Rattus norvegicus: one gene and its partners. The protein of the gene in region 4 purifies or fractionates together with the protein of the main gene of each other region. This does not show direct contact. Links are inferred from orthologs where the notes say so. Each region holds a gene or a part of one and is shown on either strand. Other genes may lie near its edges.

What was found.
Region 1: the proteins of Arrdc1 (region 4) and Zmym2 purify together in Homo sapiens (affinity purification with mass spectrometry; 3 studies listed by BioGRID and IntAct, counting the BioPlex papers as one, with this or other methods). This does not show direct contact. The link is inferred for Rattus norvegicus from reciprocal best matches to the Homo sapiens genes ARRDC1 and ZMYM2.
Region 2: the proteins of Arrdc1 (region 4) and Hecw2 purify together in Homo sapiens (affinity purification with mass spectrometry; 3 studies listed by BioGRID and IntAct, counting the BioPlex papers as one, with this or other methods). This does not show direct contact. The link is inferred for Rattus norvegicus from reciprocal best matches to the Homo sapiens genes ARRDC1 and HECW2.
Region 3: the proteins of Arrdc1 (region 4) and Nedd4 purify together in Homo sapiens (affinity purification with mass spectrometry; 3 studies listed by BioGRID and IntAct, counting the BioPlex papers as one, with this or other methods). This does not show direct contact. The link is inferred for Rattus norvegicus from reciprocal best matches to the Homo sapiens genes ARRDC1 and NEDD4.

Annotation. Positions count from the first base shown.
Region 1 is NC_086033.1:35,206,209-35,210,892, forward strand, and holds part of Zmym2 (zinc finger MYM-type protein 2), read left to right. Parts: intron 1-157; coding exon 158-329; intron 330-2,535; coding exon 2,536-2,661; intron 2,662-4,121; coding exon 4,122-4,216; intron 4,217-4,684. UniProt on the Homo sapiens protein: Involved in the negative regulation of transcription.
Region 2 is NC_086027.1:63,071,413-63,076,719, forward strand, and holds the start of Hecw2 (E3 ubiquitin-protein ligase HECW2), read right to left. Parts: upstream 3,347-5,307; 5' UTR 3,308-3,346; coding exon 3,016-3,307; intron 1-3,015. UniProt on the Homo sapiens protein: E3 ubiquitin-protein ligase that mediates ubiquitination of TP73. Acts to stabilize TP73 and enhance activation of transcription by TP73. Involved in the regulation of mitotic metaphase/anaphase transition.
Region 3 is NC_086026.1:82,270,867-82,275,550, reverse strand, and holds part of Nedd4 (E3 ubiquitin-protein ligase NEDD4), read right to left. Parts: intron 4,078-4,684; coding exon of another isoform or gene 4,077-4,077; coding exon 3,912-4,076; intron 2,880-3,911; coding exon 2,806-2,879; intron 1-2,805. UniProt on the Homo sapiens protein: E3 ubiquitin-protein ligase which accepts ubiquitin from an E2 ubiquitin-conjugating enzyme in the form of a thioester and then directly transfers the ubiquitin to targeted substrates. Specifically ubiquitinates 'Lys-63' in target proteins.
Region 4 is NC_086021.1:28,136,944-28,142,367, reverse strand, and holds the start of Arrdc1 (arrestin domain-containing protein 1), read left to right. Parts: upstream 1-2,120; 5' UTR 2,121-2,134; coding exon 2,135-2,252; intron 2,253-2,298; exon of another isoform or gene 2,299-2,895; intron 2,896-5,424. UniProt on the Homo sapiens protein: Functions as an adapter recruiting ubiquitin-protein ligases to their specific substrates. Through an ubiquitination-dependent mechanism plays for instance a role in the incorporation of SLC11A2 into extracellular vesicles.

The DNA of each region.
Region 1 (4,684 bases), on a different chromosome or scaffold from region 4:
GGGATTTTCTTGTCATGGTAGGCTTCTTAGTTTTGATATTTAGTCTTGCTAAAGACTTTCTTCAATAATGTATTTATATAGTAGTAGGTCATGCATCTAATTTCAGAAACTAGCTTGTATTGTTTAGTTTGCCTAATATTAACAATGCTTTGGTTAGGTGCCCGTTCCTGTGTTTTTGCCTGCTCCATTGGAGAACAGTGAGAAGATTCCTGCCTCAGTTGAGGACCTCAAAAGCAAAGTGTCTTCAGATCCTCTTGATACAGAATTGCTTACAATGACGGATATGATGACTGAAGAGGAGGGGAAAACAGAGGCATCTAATATCAACAGTAAGCTACACTATTCAGTTTGTCAGCAAGAGGTTTGGGGGACGGGGTCTATGTATTGTCATCTTTACAATACTTAAAGGCATATCCTGTAGCAGGAAAAAGGATTATAGCAGAAATATTTTATATTAAGAAATAACACACTTTGCCTCAGTGGTTAAGAGTACTAGTTACTCTTGCAGAAGACCTGGATCTGGTTCCCAGCACCCACATATCTTTCTTTAATTCCAGTTCCAGAGATTCCCCTGCCCTCTTCTGGCCTTCACAGGCATAAGACATGCAAGTGGTGCACAGATATACATACATGTACAATACCTGTACACATAAAACAACACAATTTTTTAATAAAGAGGAATACACACTCCAACTTGAACCAGGTTTGCTCTAATGCTAAGCTTGATCTCTAGTGGAATATTTTGTTTTATTTTGAGATGGAGACTTAGAATGTGTCCGAGGCAATAAACTCTTGGCCTCAAGAAGTCTTCAGTGTCATCTTCTGAAGTAGATAAGATTACCTTTTCTTAGAAACAAAAGTTGGGTGGGTTTGTTTGTTTGTTTGTTTTGGTAAGATTTCTTTATGTGTTTGAGAGTTGCATGTGTGTATGCCTGGCACTTGTGGAGTTCAGAAGATAGAGCATTATATCCTTTGAAAATGGAGTTATAGATTATGAGCCACCATGTAAGGGCTGGGAACTGAACTTTGGTCCTTTGCAAGAGCAGCCATTGCTTCTAATTCACTCACTCCCTATTTTTTTATTTTGTTTTGTTTTAATAGTAATAGGATTTGAATTCAGTTCAGTTATTTTTCTTAGGTTTCTAAGATTTTATTTTGTGATCGTTATTTCTAGTAATATTTTATTTTTTATACTAATCAAATATAATTTGCTTTATTATATTTATATTATATTTATCTAAACCAGAATTTTTCCTACTTTCTTTTAGGACACTGCTACATAGTGGTGTGATTTAATATGAGTGTTTTGTTGGGCAACTCTGTCCTTTTGAACATTTATTCCTTCCTATCCGTAGTCTTCTGGTAATATTTAGAATCCATTTTTAGTCCTGAACTGTCTAATTGCTTTTATACCAGAAGAAAAGTGTAGAAGTTGTTTTGCAGTATTCTCAGAGGTTGTCAAATGAAGTGGATTGTACTTAGTGGTATGATTTTTGTTGTTGTTTGTTTGTTTGTTTGTTTTTTGAGACAGGGTTTCTTTGTCTAATCTTGGCTGTCCTGGAATTAGTGCTGTAGACTAGGCTGGCCTGGATCTCATAGAGATCCCTTTGTCTCTACTTCCCAAGTGCTGGGGTTAGAGGCATGTGCCACCACCACCTAGTGTGGTGTTCATTTTTAATTAAGAATAAAATACAGACACCCACTTAGTCCCTGCGCTCAGGTGTTGGAACGTGAGTTCTAGGTGTGTCCAGTATATGACACTACATACCTCATGGGAAAAAGAATGGGAAGCCATGTCTGAATCCTTCAGAGAAGAGTTAGGTGGGTTTGTGAACGCCTTTGTTTCCTAATTATATACGTTTGTCTTAATTTCTGTCTGGAGACCTATTGTCATTCTAGTATATATTAGATAGAATGCATTTATAACTACGGCAAAACAGTTAAACAGTTCATCGAAACATATGGTAGCTATTAACAAGCATATACTAAGTATGTGTAAACTTGGTCAAAATTCAAAAATACTGTTTGAAAACCATAGTTGTTTATTTCCATAAGTTTATTTCTGATAAAGAATTGTTTTATGAATATTGACATGGGGAAATGGCCCACTCAGTAAAGTGCCTGCCATATAAGAATGAGATGAGAACCTGAATTTGGATCCTCCGAACCTATTTAAAAGATCAGGCACAGTGGCTTGTGTCTAACCCTAGTGTGAATTGACAGATTAGGAAGGGAAGATGGATCCATCAAACAAAGAAAAACACAGGACTCTGGTCAGCCTCTGGTCTCCACATGCATTCCTGTCTGGAAGCACTTACATCACACTGGCAAGTAATGTATGTGTCCTCCCCACCCCCACCACACACACACACACACACACACACACACACACACACACACACACACACACACACACACACACGGGAGTTGTTTTATATTAACTTTTCTACTTTTTCCTTTGGGAGCTTAAGTACAGATACTATTAAGTTTTTTTTTTTTAATTTGATTTCTAATGATATTATTGCTTGGTTACAGGTGTAATTATTGAGACAGACATAATTGGCTCAGATCTTACAAAGAACTCTGACTCAGATATACAATCCAACATGCCCGATGTACCATATGAACCAGATTTGGATATTGAAATAGATTTCCCCAGAGGTACTTAAATACTACTTTATCATTATTAAATCAAGTTATATGGTTGTATTTAAGGTAATTGATCAACAGTGTTAGTAAAATTACCTCTTATCCTCATAATTGTTTCTTTTTTCCGTGTGTCCTTTGTAGTGGAGGATGCTGCATGTACTTTTCCACTTAGCTACATTCTTCCTCCTTTTCTTTTTTATTTCTCCAAATAAAACTGAATTAATTGCAGGAACTTTAGAAACTAGAGAAGAATACAATACTTGTATTTTTTCAATTCAGAGGTATTGATAGTATTAGCGTAGAGGTAGGAATCATGATAGGGTTTTGCTATATAATTCAGACTGGCCCCCAACTCAAAGCATGCCTTCTCCCAGCCTCTCATGCTGGGATTATAGGTACGTGTCAAATGTATAGCTTGGTAGCATTTTTCTTAATGTTCTTGAAAGTTAAATTCATATTTAAAGGAAAAGAAATACATTTACTTCTTTAACAGATGTATGCTCAGGGCTGGAGAGATGGCTCAGTGGTTAAGAGCACTGACTGCTCTTCCAGAGGTCCTGAGTTCAAATCCCAGCAACCACATGGTGGCTCACAACCATCTGTAATCAGATCTGATGCCCTCTTCTGGTGTGTCTGAGGACAGTGGCAGTGCACTCATACATAAAGTAAATCTTTAAAATAAAAAAAGAGAGCGACACGCTCCCTTTCGCTGCTGGTTAGTGCAGATGAAGTGTAGACGTCTTCCGTCTCATACATAAAGTAAATCTTTAAAATAAAAAAAGAGAGCGACACGCTCCCTTTCGCTGCTGGTTAGTGCAGATGAAGTGTAGACGTCTTCCGTCTCGTCCGTCCGGATAGCTTGGCATGCTCTACAGTCCCAGCCCTGGGAGACGGGGGCAGAACTTAAGTTAAGGGCAGCTACTGTCAGGTTGTGAGGTCAGTCTGATTTAATTAATAAGGGTCCGTCTCAAAAAAGACAAGTGTTTGAAAGCCTTGTGATAGTACATTCCTGCAGTCCTGTTGCTAAGGTAGGAGGGTTGTGAAGTGTAGACTCTGTAAAGTAGGTTCCAGGCCACAGACAGACAAATGTGTTCCTGTTCTCATTTTCCCCTAATTTATAAATTCCTACTGAATGAAGTGTAAAGCATTCTACGAAAAAGACAAGAGATTGAACAAGATTGGCACTTTTAGATCTTCTAACTAGTTTTATAGTTGTTTTCCTTTTTCTAGTATCATACAGTTCTGTGATGCTTCTGTACTGATTGATACTTGCTACATTTGGTTTTTAGTTTATCAAATAGTTTAGCAAAACTCAACACCATGTTAAGTATGAGTCTCCCTGTGCCTCGCCTCGCTGAGACTTACCCCATGTCTGGATGATCCTTCATGTCACGGGACTCTTTATTGGCCGTGTTTATGTAGCAGAATCTTGTACTGTTATATTTGAAGTAAGATATTTTCTAATTTGTCAGCTGCAGAGGAACTTGATATGGAAAATGAGTTTTTATTACCACCAGTTTTTGGGGAAGAATATGAGGAGCAGCCCAGACCTCGATCTAAAAAAAAGGTATAGAATTTGTTAATGTTTTATATTTTTTATTCATTTAACATCGCTGTAGCAGCATGTCAGAGAAAGATGCTTTGGGGATATCTTGGGCCTGACAATATGGGGAGATAGATATTAAATTCATCTTAATATAATGTCAAAATGGAAAATAGTTGACATAAAAAGAAAATTCAACTCAGACAATAACAAAGATTATTTTCTGAGTGAGCATGGTGGCACATAGCTATAACCACTGCATTTGTCTCAATGGAAAGGAGAAAGGAGAAGGGGTTGGTGATTTTCAGTGGATTAAATTTCTCATCAGTTTGGATGAGGTTAATTAATGAAGAGAGATGTAGTTTATTTTTAAGCATGCCAACACAGAGAGGAAGACATTTGGGGAACTAGGGATGCAGCTCAGTTGGTAGAATGTTTGCCTACTGTGTAGGAGGCCCTGGACTGGAGGCCCTGGATTTGATTCCCAGCTCT
Region 2 (5,307 bases), on a different chromosome or scaffold from region 4:
ACATCTGTCTACTTACTAGGCATTTCCAGTTAAGTACTAGTTTGTGTTCGCACAGCCCCTTCAGGGTTTGGGGTAATTGCTTCTTCCTACTCTGTCCTGCCAGAGATCTGTGAGAATTCTAGAAGTTAAAAAGTCAACTACTGGGCTGGAGAGATGGCTCAGTGGTTAAGAGCACTGACTGCTCTTCCTGAGGTCCTGAGTTCAAATCCCAGCAACTGTGTGGTGACTCACAACCATCTGTAATGAGATCTGACTCTCTCATTTGGAGTGTCTGAAGAGAGCTACAGTGTGCTCATATATAGTTAATAAATAAATCTTTTTAAAAAAACAGTTAACTACCTGAAAATTTAAAATCCACCAAGTGGGACTGGCTCAGTATAAAGAAAAGGGGGAAAGGCTAATAAACTTGAGGACAAACAGAGCTGGTGTGGTGGTCTACTCCTATCACCTCAGCACTTGGGAGGTAAATGAAAAAGAATCAGGAATTCAAGGTCATCCTCAGCTACATAGCAATGTCAGGCAACCCTGGAACACAAGAGACCCTGTTTCTAATGCTCGTGTGTGTGTGTGTGTGTGTGTGTGTGTGTGTGTGTGTGTGTGTGCGCGCGCGCGCGCACGCGCATGTCTCTGCGTGTCTGTGTGAAGGAGGAAAAGGAAGAGGAGAAAGACAGAGAAGAATAAACTAGGAAATGTGAATATCATGGAGAAAATAGATGGATAAAAAATGGATCAAAACCCACAAATACCTTGTAGAACAATGTGAAATAATATAATATAGGTCTCAGTAAAAAGTAATAGTTTTTTAAAACTCACATTAAGGAAAAAAATGGAGTCAGGCATTGGTGGCACATACCTTTGATCCCAGCACTCAGGAGGCAGTGGAACCAGATCTCTATGAGTTTGAGACTAGCCTGGTCTACAGAGTTAGTTCCAGGACAGATAGGAATACACAGAGAAACCCTGTTTCAAAAAAAAAAAGAAAAGAAAAGAAAAGAAAAAGAAGAAAGAAAAATAGAAGAAAAAGTAGCAAAGTTTCCCAAATTCATCAAAAGCTTTATTAACATAAATTTTACATATTCCAGCCAACATAACTAAAGTGAAAATTAAATATAGGGGTTGGGGATTTAGCTCAGTGGTAGAGCGCTTGCCTAGCAAGTGCAAGGCCCTGGGTTTGGTCCTCAGCTCCCGGAAAAAAAAAAAGAAAATTAAATATAAACGTGTTATAGTCACACTAATGGAAACCAATGTAAAGAACAAGGGTGATTTGTGTGAGAAGGTACAGGAGCTTCTTTAAAAAGAGCTAACACTCATAAGAGATTCTCTTCCCACCCCTGCTTTCCTAGTTCAGGTCTTCATTAACTCTGACACACACTCCTTCCTCAGCAGGTAAAACACAGAACATGAAACCTATGTTTTTGTCCCTTACTTATCCCAATTAGACAGGAAAATGTAACAGTTTGAGGGGATGAACAATAAGAAAGCATGAGAAAATAGTACATAATCCCGAATTAATGGCCGTATGATTCTAGCACTAAGACTGTCAGTCACGTATGTAAAATTAATCTTATATGAGAAAGTAAAATTTAACTATTTTCCCAAGAAACATCATATAAAATATTTTAAATCACCATTTTCTATTTGCAATATCATAGGGAGATTTAAGGATTTTTTTGCTTATAAAATCTAAAATGTAAAAGAAAAAAAGAAAGTTAAGAAAAGTAAAAACAAATGTTATGGAGCCCAAAGGAGACTGACATCCCACAAAACTATAAGCTCTTTCACAGTCACAATAATATAGACAAGGACTTTAAATTGTATGCCTTCCTCACTCTACTATGTACTTAAATACACCCAAAGAAAATAAACAACTTTAAAGACTTTTCCCTACTACTCTTTGTTATCATAAGAGGGAAAACAAGAAAGTTACTAATTCATTGAAATTGTTTCTATTTTGGATTTTTTTCTTACTATCCAGCATGATTAATCATTGAGAGTTACAAAGTTAATATAACGGATAACCTCTTTAAAAGAAAATTCTTAGTCCCCAAAGAACTCCAGTTTCAGTAGGTTTAATATCCTAACAGAAGTTCAGCAAGGATGTAGGCTTGCCTTAAATCAGGGTTTTCAAAGTTGGACAGGGGACTCCTGGGGCAGAAGAGCTCTCCTGTACATGCAATGCTGTGTTCTAATCCCACTACAGAGAAAAAAATACAGCCATCAAAAATCCCTCCACACACCGCGAGTGTCCTCTAGGGGGCAAAATGAGCCTTATGTAAAAAGCTTTAGTTGTAAGGGTATCAACACAGGACTCCTTGTTTACAAGTATGCAACCGAAACAAGATGCTTACATTGAAATCAATATCAGATATTAATTATAAAGTAATTTTCTTCATTTGGAGACAAAATTTTCCAACTTTAAGTAATGCTGGATTTTATTATTATGTTAGATTGAAAACGTATTTAAGATTAATTGGTAGGTATGGTGCTTGCATTCAAATAATACTAACTTGTATTTTCTGGGAAGTGTCAGTCACCATTCATTCAGATATGAATAACAGATTTGAATATAGTTAAGCAAAACTGGGACTGTTTTATCAAAACAAATAGGCAATGATTCCCATTTATAAAAAGATACCCAGGCTGCAGATTATTTTAAGTGAAATCAACCTTTAGAAAATGCAAACTGTTTCCGTATTAGTTTAACAGTGTTCACTGGTGTTAATAACCCCCACTCCTCTTTCCAAGTCATAACTTTGTCTCAAGACCAGCGAGAAACTGAAGAGAAAATCCAGTGGTGCACACAGGGGCTGACATTTAATTCAGTAGAAATAGAACCACAAGATGCATATAAGTAAAGGAACTCTCCTCCCAAGGAACGAAGAACACGTCCAGAATCAGCTTTGTCTATTTGTGTGAAAAAGTTTGCTTCCTTTTACAGCAGGAGAAAACACAGAACATTACCATTTCAGAGTTGAAAGCCGTGCCGAGCCACACGCAAGCCTTCACCCGACTCACCTATGTGATAGAGTCCGATCCAATCGCTGGGGTCAACCTCTTCCTTAATGTCCCAGAAGATAATGAGGTTCTGGGCTTGCCCCAGTGTGTACTCATACATGCTGGCAGTCAGGCTGGAGCGGCTCTCGGAGGTCACGAGGTCGGTGTCACTGTTGGCTCGCTGCAGGGCCATGTTCTCGGGCATTGAGTTCTGGGTTGCGAGGCTCTGAAGGTTCTCTGGGCTCAGTGTGTACCGCATCTGTGGATTTCGACGCCGCACAAAAAGCAAATGCTCCCGGGCTGAGCTTGCCATCCTGTCTGCCTCTCTGAGGTTGTTTTCCTACAAAGCTGCAAGAGACCGACAAGCATAAAATATTAGCGCAAAAAGGTGAGGAGTTAGAATCAAACATCCCAGATAGAAAGCCTGAAGGAGAGTTTATCACAACCTCAACATACAATAATCTGCTGTGGAAATAAAAGACACCATCCTATACTCACCTGATAATATCAGAAAAAATTTCTAGGACAGCGATCACAAGATGACTGTCATATACCTCTGGCCCCCGGTTTCCCTTGGCATAGCTTTTCCAAGAAAGTAAGGGGGAGGGGCTTTTCTATAGATCCCTCTTAGATCTGCATTCCCACATAGTCCACCACCCTCTTTCCCCTTCCTGTCCCACATGTGCTATTTATCTCCTGCAACTACGCTTTCAACCAGCAAGATACATGTCAAACACAGTTGATGATTCCTTCTGAGGTACTGCCCATTGCTTCAGTTCTCCTGCCGAGCGGAACGTAGCTCTCTGGCCACAGTTTCAGGACCTTGCTCAAATGCCACCTCTGCACTTAAAAATAGAGGGACCATTATATGCAGAATGACAACATCCTGGAAGTCAACCTTTCTGTTTCTCCGTAAGGTCTGGTTTGCCATATGAGCACTCTCTTACCCATTGTCCATTCCCCCTAATACGCACGGGGGTTTCGCCAAAGCAGTGAGTTTCATGTTTTGTCACTATTTTATCCCCAGTACGTACAGTGGCACTGGGAATGCAGCAGGTGGGACCCATATCTGTTAACTGGACAGACAGGAAAAGCTAGCACCTTTACCCCAGAGACTGCGGCATGACTCACATCTCCATGCTCTCTTCTGAGCCTGCTTCTTGTTACCCTGAAGCTCCCAACGGCACAAACTATTCCTACCACCTAGATCATGATGGGCGCTGGCCTTTAGCATCCATTTGGTCTCCAGAAAGGAACAGACTTGCCCTGTCGAGCCTTGTATCCAGCCTCACTTGCTCACTGTGAGTCCCCTGCTATTACACTGCTTATGGGACTCTTTCTAAGACATCTGTCCTTTTGCCCAGTGCCTGTGAGGTTCTGTCTCCTGGTAATTAACTCCGCCTTGCCCATGGGTTACCTCACCCAGAGCGAATACTAGAGTAAATCTGCTTTTCTCCCACACTGCTTTCCAACAAAAACAGGCTTTAACACCTAATCTGTGCACTCAGACTGTTGCAATCTTTTGAATGTTTTCTTTGAAGCTAAACTATTGACTCCTGAAAAGTTGGCATGACATTCTACTTCAAAGCAAACTAATACTCGCCAGTGTCCTAATTGTAACACAGCCATGAACCTTGGATACTGAGTCTGCGAGCAAAAAAAGGGGGAGAAAGGGCTCCCCATCTTCTCTTGTTTCCCCATCCATTTCATAGTTTGGGTGAAATTCATGTCCTGATGGCTTTCTGTTGTGATGATAACATCATACCATGACAAAAAGGGAAGGAAAGGGGGTTCACTTCAGCTTACAGTTTTCAGTCCATCATCAAGGGAAGCCAGGACAGAAACTCAAGCAGGAATGTGGAGGCAGAAACCGAAAGAATCAGAGACCGGGGAGAAATGCTGGCTCCTAGCTTGTTCCCTGGCTCATGGTGACCTGTACTTTTTCCATGACACTGGTCAATCTGCCTAGGGGTGAAGCTGCCCATAGTGTACTTGACCCTTCTACATCAATTGGCAACCAAGAAAATGCCCCACAGGTATGTCCAAAGGCCAATTTGATGGAAGCAATTTAGCAATTTAGGTTCCTGTCTTGGCTAGGTTTTGTTAACTTGACACAGGCTAGAGTCATCTGAAAGGAGTGAACCACAATTGAGAGAATGCCTCCATGAAACCCAGATGTAGGGCATTTTCTTAATTAGTAATTGATACAATATCCCTAGGCTGGTGACTCTAGGATAAGAAAGCAGGCTGAGCAAGCCAGGAGGAGCAAGCCTTCCATGATCTCCTGCATCCAGGCTCCTACCCTACTCATGA
Region 3 (4,684 bases), on a different chromosome or scaffold from region 4:
CATTATTTATGTGCACACAATGCATGCTTCTGTGTTGTGTATATGTAGTGCCTGCCACAGGCATGAGAGGGCTGCATCTCTGGGAGCTGGATTTACACACAGTTGTAAGCCAGTCGATGTAGGTGCTCTGAAGCAAGATCTAGAATTCTCTAGAATCCAGCAAGCACCTAGAACATGCCTGTCTCTTCGTGCCAACACACCCTCTACTAATGACTACCGGATCTTTGTGCCCTCCTTGATCCATGCCCCCCACATCCCCCACCACCAGGGATTCAACACAGACCGCTCTAGTTGTAAAGGTATCGCTGTGTAACTCAGCCTGGCCTAGAATTCCTGCTGAGTGGTGGAATTACAGTCGCTTTCACCACATTTATTAAGTTTTATTTTCTAATTTCTGCCCAACATTTACTTATCCCATCAATGTTTCATGTATTACATGAATATAATTATTACATAATTAGAAACAATATATGAATGCATGTTTTCCTTCCTTTGTCCTGTCACCATTAAAAAAATTGTTTTGTATTGGCTTTTTAATTATTTCAAGAATTTCATTTTAAAATTTCTTTTACAGCTATGGTGTACAACTGTGCTTGCATAGCTATGGTGGCACTGGCTCATGCCCTTAATTCCAGCAACTGAGAGAAATAGGCAGGCAGACCTGAGTTCAAGGGCAGCCTGGGCTACAGAACAAGTTTCAGGATAGCCAGGGACATAGAGAAATTCTGTCAACAAACAAAACTACAACAAAAACCCTGCAAATGTCTGCTCTTATAAAACCTAGTGTTCTTTGCCTCACCGCTGACAGATGGCTTATTTATGTCTCCTACTTTTTTTTTTTTGGTTCTTTTTTTTTTTTTTTTTTTTTTCCGGAGCTGGGGACCAAACCCAGGGCCTTGCGCTTCCTAGGTAAGCGCTCTACCACTGAGCTAAATCCCCAGCCCCATGTCTCCTACTTTTTAGTGATTCACTTTGCCTTTGCTTTCTATGGCACCGTTCTCCCACACAGGGTCACAGCAGACACGTCCGTCCTTTGTGCTGTAATTCCCATGGGTATTTTTTTCATCTATATAAATCCCTAAGAGAAGGTTGGGAGTCCCGAGTCCAATGGATTCTGTATAAGGTTAAGAGCACTTACTGCTCTTGCAAGGGACCTAAGTCTGATTCCCAGCACAAACATGGCAGATCACAGACATCTGTAACTTCAGTTCCAGGGGACTCAATACCTTCTTCTCACCTCTATGAATATCAGGCATACACACATATACATGAAGACAAAACACCCTCACACAAAAATAAAACTTTTAATTTAAAAGTGTCTGAAGATTCCAGGTATTTATTGCTTCTGATGCTTTTCCTCTCTTCACCAGGAACTTTAACCTGCTTTAACATTTCTTCTTTAAAAGATTTGTATGTGTACTTGTGAGTGCAGTGCCTGTGGAGGCCACATGAGGGCGCCAGATCCCCTGGAGTTGGTCACAGGCGGGTCCCTGGGAATCCTCAGTAAGAGCAATTCCGGAATGCCGAGCCAACACTCCAGTCCAGTTGTATATTTCATTTATTGTTTCCAGATTTAGACACTTACTCTTTAAAAATATTTTATTTCATTATTTAGCTCTCTGGTCTTTCTGGAACGTAGTTAAAACAGACCTTTCTTCTTTTTTTTTTTTCTTTTTTTGTTCTTTTTTTCGGAACTGAGGACTGAACCCAGGGCCTAGCAAGCGCTCTACCACTGAGCTAAATCCCCAACCCCCAGACCTTTCTTCTTTATCATCTTCTAATTGGTAAATGATTCCCATTAATCTATATTCAGTTCATCTTTGCTCTATGTATCCATTCAGTTATCATAATCAACCAAAGTACTTTAATTTCAAATATATTTTAGTTGTAGAATTTCCCTGTTTGTCTGTCTGTCTGTCTGTCTGTCTCTACTTCATTCCTGAAACTTCCAAGGTTTTGACTGACCATGAGCATATACTCTTCCCTTTGGCCCAGTTTTTGTTTCCTGAAGACACTGTCTCGCTATGTAGGCCTGGCAGCCCTGGACTCAGACAATCCTTGAATTCAGAGGTCTTCCCGCCTCTGCCTCCCAGCACACTCTGCTCACAGACTCTTTATTGACTGACATTTACTGTGCTCCACTTCCCTGTCTCTCCACAGACCAGGTGACTACATGTTGTGTCCCGGACATTGTAAGCTGAGTTAGTTACAGAGAATCTAGGTTCTGTTATTTTTCCATGTTTATCTACCTTGTTTGGACAAGGGTCACAAACTCTATTGGGCCAATAGCTCTCCGCTCAGATCGTCTGACACCAGCTGAGGGTACAAATCTTTTCCTTACCACTGCCATGCTTCCTTCCAATCTGTTCTTCTCATTTCTCCACCACGAGAGTCCAACCTGCTCCAGGGTTTCAGGCTGTGGGACTACCTCTCCCGTTCCAGGTTGTAATTCTCCCTGGCTTCAGACTAATTCCCATAAGGGAACCACTCCACACCACTGCTTCGCTCTCATGTGGCTCGCCCCAGTACTCCCGCTCTGCTCATTTGATGCTCAGAGGTACTTTTTCTATTGCACCCAGAGATTATGGTGGTTATTATCTGCTAAAGGATTTAGAGACTTAAAATAAAAAAATCTATAACTATCACTGATCACTATTACAGATACCAAGAAAATAATCAACCACCTAACCTGTAAGGTCCTCACTGTACACCAAAATTTGTTATTATCATTCAGATTTTCATTTAATCAAAGTCCAAGAAAGAAATATTATTTCTTTAAACTCCAAACCCACATATCATACTTACCTGGCTCCCAAGATGTCTTTCTTGGCCAGACCTATGCCAGCTATAACCTTCACTCTCACAACTCGCGTGTCATCCTAAAATGCAAAGGGTGGTTTTACTTAAGTAATTACAAGTTATCTAATACAATGATAACCAGAATACTAAATTTGGAGAATATTTAAAAATAAGTAATCTGATTAAAAGGTATATAAAAGAAGATAAAAACAAAATTTATCATTTTTAGATACATTTGATCACACACACAAAAAGCAAAGAACTAGAGTCAAGTTATTACACACAATAAGAATTTAGCCTTAAAATTTATAAGAAAAATTTAAAGGGGGCTGGGGATTTAGCTCAGTGGTAGAGCGCTTGCCTAGGAAGCGCAAGGCCCTGGGTTCGGTCCCCAGCTCCAAAAAAAAAAGAACCAAAAAAAAAAAAAAAACTAATGACAATGGTAACTAAGGAAGTCTCCATTGTTACCACGTTCACAACATAAAATCAGAAGCTCATCATAATCATGTAATAACTACTAAGAAAAGGCAATTTTAAGTCTCATTAAAGAGTTTATAAATAACAGTGAGCGCACTATGATATGTCAAATAGCAATGACCTAGCAGGTCACAGTGGAATGAGGTCCTATGGGAGAACTTCCTTGTCTTAAAAGAGACGTCTCATCTAAGGGGAGCTGGGTGAGGAGTTGGAGGGGCGAGAATGGTCAAATTACATTGTGTATGGCTAGGTGAGGTGATGAACCACTCTAATCCCTTGGCGTCAACATGACAATAATTTAAGACCAGCTTGGTTTACAGAGTTAAGTTTCAGGCTAGTTGGGGCTATATAATGAGACCTTGCCTCAAAAGAAATCAATCAATCAATCAATCAGTCAATCAATCGTGGGGCTAAGAAATGGCTCAGTAGTAAAAAGCATCAGCTGTTCTTCCAGAGGACCTGGATTCAATTCCCAGCACCTACATGGTCACTCACAACCAACTATATGTCCAGTTCCAAGTTCTGGCTGAAGAAGCCCTCTTCTGGTCTCTATGGACACTAGGAACACACACCATATACAGACACACATACAAACAAAACATCCATACACATAAATAAAAATTTTAAAAACGTACATTGTGAAGCTCGAGATATGGATCGGCAGTGAAAAGCACGTGCTCCTCTTCCAGGGAACTCGGATTTAACTCCCAGCATCCACATGGTGGCTCACAAGTATCTGTGACATCACTTCCGGGGGATCCACCACCCTCTTCATTCTTATCCAGACAGAACTCCCATACCCGTAAAAATTAAAAAAAAATACATTATTATGAAATTCTCAACAAATTAATAAAAATATTACACTTTCTAAAGTGATACATAACAAAATATTCAGGGGAAAATGGCACAAACTCTGTAACTTATTCTCAATGGCTCAGCAAGTAAAAAGTTGGATGTGAGTCTATCTGTGCATGTGTAAAAAGGAAATGAAGGCAATGTTTCCAAGCTGTGGACTGGAGTGATACACTCTCTCTTAACTATCATACAGACTACAAATAGTTTAAATCCAAAAACTGGATTCATTTCAGCAACTGGGAAAAAATATCCCAACAAAAAGCAACTTAGCGGACTTATTTGGCTTACAAATTCCTCAGTCTGTCATGGAGGGGAAGTCAAAGCAAGAATCCAAACAGGTCTCACATCATAGCCAGTCAAGAGCAGAGACCTGCTGGCCATTAGTCAGCTTTTCTTACATTGTTTGGAATCTCTGCCTAAAAAGTCTGTAGGGCAGTTCAGTATAATGAAAACTTCCATAAACTCAGTGCACAGCCTGGTAAAACCACATTCATTCTTTTGTTTACAGACTCAGGCTAACTGGGCTGGCTAGTCTTATGTCAACTTAACACAG
Region 4 (5,424 bases):
GAGGAAGCTTACTTTAGATAAAAGGGAGCCGGAGACATCCAAGAGAATCCAGAGTGAACATGACCCTGAGCCATGTGAAGAGAGGGGAACCAGGTACAGCAGCCAGGAAGCCCAAAAGAGAGTGGGGTAACCAAGATGGCTACTTGGGGGAAGGGCAGCCCAGGCCCTGAGCTGAGTTCAGGGTAGGGGGCCTGCCAGTAGGAACACCAGCCAGTAGGACCCTGTAAAAGGTAGGGACTGAGGGATGCTGGGAGAACCTGGTGACAAGGTCCATCTTAATATGTTAAGTATGGGAGGCTGGAGAGATGGCTCATCAGTTAAGAGCACCGACCGCTCTTCCAGAGGTCCTGAATTCAATTCCCAGCAACCACATGGTGGCTCACAACCATCTGTAAAGAGATCCGATGCCCTCTTCTGGTGTATCTGAAGACAGCTACAGCGTACTTATATATAATAAATGAATAAATCTTAAAAAAAAATGTTAAGTAGGCACTGCAGCCTTGCATTTGAGTTTGAAACCTAATGTGTACCACCATACCCAGCCCTCTTCCCCTTTTGTTGACAAGAATCAGATTAAGTTCTGGATCATGCCCCACCACCTAGCCAAGACGTCAGTTATTTGAACACAGATTATTTTATGTTTTAGCCCTTTGACTCCCCTAAATGCATGGGGTATCGGAGGCACCCAGGTTTTGCATATCATGGCTTCTACCACAAAGTGATTTGATCTTCCATTGAGGAACATTTTGCTAACTGTTCTAGTAACTGCCACTCCACTTTGTTTCCTTCATGTTTAACCAGGAAGCAGGGCCCCTGAGGCATCTCTGTCCTAGACTAGTACAAACTGACCCTGCCATTGTTGCTCCACTCTCATGGGTATATATTCCCATCGATTTCTGAAGTCAAAGTGAAAAATAGAAAATACTGGTAAGTTGAGACCCCATGTTAAAAAATGGCCTCAGGACAGTCATGTCAACTTACAATGGGTGACATTATCTAATACAAATCTAATACATTATATATGTATGCTTGTAGTTTAGGGGAACAGGCCTTGATTGAGCTAAACAAGTGCTGTGTCACTGAGCCACACCCCTCCACAATGACCATCTTGTAAGGCAGTGCTGACTATCTCATATAATTTAATACAATACCAAAAGGAGAACACCAGGATTGCTTAAATCGACTTTCACACTATAGTAAGATAGAACAATAAATTGTGAACATATGAATTTAAGACCTTCCTTCCAGTTCACAACCAACACCAAGACCTTTTTTAAAAATGTGATTCAGGCCGGTGGTGGTGGCACAAGCAATTATGCCAGCATTCGGACCGCAGGGCAGGGCAGAGCTCTCTAAGTTCGAAGCCAGTTTGGTCAACAGAGCGCGTTCCAGGGATACACCCTGTCTTAGGGAAAAATGTGATTCAGAATCTGTCCCTTCTCTGTTCGTGCCTTCTCGCTCCATGTCCCAAGTTTTGCAGGGGTCTCGTGTTTCTGCCCTGCGCTCTCCCAGCTCAGCGCCGGTGTTCTGGGCCGCGATTGCCCACTACTCCTCGGGAAGCCTGATGAAGGTCGCGGTACACAAAGCACGATGGCCGCGGGGCATAACTGGGGACCCACACCGCCTGAGGGCCGAGCACCTCTCGTAGCCACCTAGCGTTGAACATGGGTGCCCGGGAACCCGCTTTCGCTTACAGGTGAGCAATCCTCATCCCTGAGCACCAGAGGTCTCAAGGATCCCGTTAGGGTCTAAAGCGTAGGGGCCGCGCACTCCGTAGCCCACCCCGCTAGTCTGGGCGGGCCTTCGGGGTAGGGCAGGAGCATGACTGGCCTGTTGTGACCAGGTGCTTGTGTTCAATGAGGCAAATCTAGGAAAATGGGCGGGTCCTTGTGGAGGCGTGTCCCCCATCCATGGGCGTGTCCTCCGGTCGCAGACCAGCCCTGGAGAAGGCGGGCCTTGGATCAGAAAGGGGTGGGTCTTTGGGATGAGGGTGGGTCTTGGGGGGCACCGGCTAGTATTCCGGCCCAGGCGGGTCCTGCGGCCTGGGCGTGTCCTCTGTTGGGGAAGGGGAGGGGGGCGGGCCACGAAGCCACTGCCCTAGCAGGCGTCAGACCGCGGCGCGGGAGACCGCGGTATGGGGAGGGTGCAGCTCTTCGAGATCCGCCTGAGTCAGGGCCGCGTCGTCTACAGTCCTGGGGAGCCGCTGGCTGGGGCCGTGCACTTGCGCCTGGGAGCGCCACTACCCTTCCGAGGTGGGCGCGGGATCGCTTCGGGGGAAGTGGGTAGACGCGTTCTTACCTGCGGTGGGGCGGGGCTCTCGGAAACCGTGCGGTCAGTGGGCTCTGAGACTGGATTCTCAGTCTCCAGGAAGCCCCGGGTTACGACGGAACCGCGGGCGCCAGGGACAGGCTGTTCTAGGAGGCCCACAGAGGGCAGGGTGGGGCAGACAGCTCGGTGGCCCAGTCCTTCCGCATCTGTCCCGTCCTGTGCTCTCCGCCTAGGCGGCCAGAAGTCTGTGCGAGGGCCTAAGTGCTTGTTCACTATACTCAGGCAACCCTGGCGGTAGAAGCATGCAGGCCTTTAGTCTTCCCTTATTCAGTTGTCCAAGGTCCAAGGCACTTTACACCTGCTGGGTCCCTACCGGGAACCTAGTGTGCTCTGGGTCCTCTCTTTTCCTTGTCTCCAGGCTCTTATGCAGTACTTTCTTCAAAGACAGTTCTGGTCCAAGTGTGCAGGTTTCTATCAGGATCCACCTTCTTGCTTTCAGCTTAAAGATTATAGTTGCTGGCAAGGGGCCCTGTTCCACCGGGCAATCCCCTTTCTCCTGTCCTAAGGCCTTATGGGAGCTGAGCTGAGACCTTTGCTGATGCATAGATCTGAGACTGGGACTGGGGATCAGGTTGCTGCTTTGCCATTGACAGGGCATTCTCAGGTGCAGGCTCCTTGGTGCTGGATCCACGAATAGGGGGCCCTGTATGGGATTTGATGACTGAGCTCTCTGGGGTCAGTGGGCACTGTTGTGGCCTCTGTCTGGCACTGACTGCAAGATTATGTGGGTGTCCCTTACTCCTACACTCTCTCAGCCTACTCTGTTTTTCGTAGATCAGCTGTTTTTACAGGACCCCAAGAGGTAGCAACCCTTGTTAGTGTGTAGTACAGTTGGAAGCAGGACGAGCACAGATTTAATGGTAGAATGTATTATCTGGTGGGGATGGTCAGGTTCAAGATCTTTGGAACTGAAAGAATGGAAAGGTCTTCATTATCGTGGCCCATGGTAAGAAGCTGCTGGAAGCTAGAAGTACCAACGAGGGAAGAAGTGTCTCTGTAGAACAAAATACACACCATGATTTTCTTTAGAAAACCAGAGCTGCTATAAGGTGGAGCATGCCTTCAATCCCAGCACTTTGGGAGGCAGGTGCAGGTGGATCTCTGTGAGTTCAAGGCCAGCCTGGTCTACAGAGCTAGTTCCAGAATACCTAGGGCTACACAGAGAAACCCTGTCTCAAAAACAAAACAGCAACAGAAGAGCAGCCTCCAGTCTCCAACGGTGAACACCTGCTAGTTTGGTGGCTCCTAGTCAATTCGGTGAGTGGTGGCTGCCTTTTATTATAGCTAGAACACTGTTAGGAAGTGTACTTTATACTCGAATGACACCTTAAGGTATATATTGTTCTGTAGGCTGCCACTTGATGCTCTGTAGATGAGGATTTGCTAGAATACACTTGCCCTGGTTTCCTGGTTATGCTATGTTGCAAGGTATGAGAGGACCATGGTTGCTTCCCAGATACCTTTGCATGAGAGTGGAGGGGTAGGACTGTAGAGAGATTACTGAAAAGCAGCATAACATTATTTTAAAAGAGCCATGTCCAGTGGCTTGCAGCAACAGCAGTAGGAAGAGGAGCAGCAGAAGCAGAGTGACCACCTAGTATTCTCAGAACTCCCTCATTTCTCACGATTTATGTAGCCTTATGTAGTGCATGGTTTTTCTGCTCCAGTGATTGGAGAAGGTACATGCCTGGCTGCTGGCATTGTCCTTGGCCAGTGAGCATGGTTCTTGGAGGAATTTTTCTGGGGAAATTTTTACACCTTGATTGTGATGCTACTGAGGCAAAGGAGAAGCTCCGAATGTTTTTTGAGGAAGCAGAGGACATACTGTTTGCAAGCCCTTTTCCTCAGTCACTTCTCAAGAGAGTAAGTGACACAGGGTATGTTCACCTCAGGGGCTAGAGGATGTCCACACTGGCAGGGTCTTCCCAAGAGCCCTGTAGTGTGGGAAATGCCCAGCATTGGGAAGATCAGAGTTGCATCCCCCTACTCCCAGTTTGCATGTGGCTTGTTTTCCTGGAATCTGGTGGTCTCATGCTCCTTTGCCTGAACTGTAGGAGGTCCAGACTGGGCTGATTGTTGTTCTAGGCAATGCTATATGAGACTCCTGTTGAATAGTATAGGACTGGAGACCTGACGGGTGTCCTGGCATGTACAGGTGCAAACACAGAGGTTGGCCCTGTGTCACTGTGTGGCTTCTCCATTCCCTCCCCAGTATGAGTCAAAGTACTTAGCAGTTGTCATTCTGACCAGGAAACATGTAAGTCACCTGGGTTTCCCCTGGTTTCTGGTGCGGCTGGTGCTGGTTCCAGTTATCTATTGCTACAAAAGGTCATTCAAATAACAAACCACCCTGCACTAAACGCTAAAGCAACCAGTTTGCTATTGCTCCTACATCAAGTGTGAAGACTTCGAATAGCACCCACCGTGCCAGTTATTGTAGGCACCCTCATAGCACCATGGCAGCACCTGGACTAAACTAAGCCCTGCAGATGGATGTTTTCCGTACCTGTGTGGGGCCAGTCACCCTTAGAGAGATGTTCCCTTTGTGAAGCATCTTCAGTCCTTTAGCAGACCTTTGAACCTCCTCTTATCCCTGTCATCTCAAGAATTATTTCCTGGCCTAAGCTGCCACTAGTGTTTAGATGGCAGAAGGAGTGCGTGCATTTCTTTCTTTCTTTTTTTTTTTTTTTTTTTTTTTTTGGTTCTTTTTTTCGGAGCTGGGGACCGAACCCAGGGCCTTGCGCTTCCTAGGCAAGCGCTCTACCACTGAGCTAAATCCCCAGCCCGAGTGCGTGCATTTCAAACCAGGTTGGAGGTTAGAGTTGTGAGGTTGGGCTGACATGGAGGGTGACAGACAGACACTGGCATTTCCAAGGACAGAGAGTAGTACAGCAGGAATGCAGAACAGTCTCAACAGTAGGGACAGGCACTGGCAGCCATCAGGTGAGGGAGTGTTAGCCTGTTAACGGTTCTCTATAGGCTCTGCCCAACAGTCACCTAGCAACAGCCAGGTAGGCCTGACTTGCTATAAAAAGGACTGTTAGCCTCTCTTCTCTCACTCTGACCCCTTTCTCCTTTTCTCCCTACCTCCTTCCA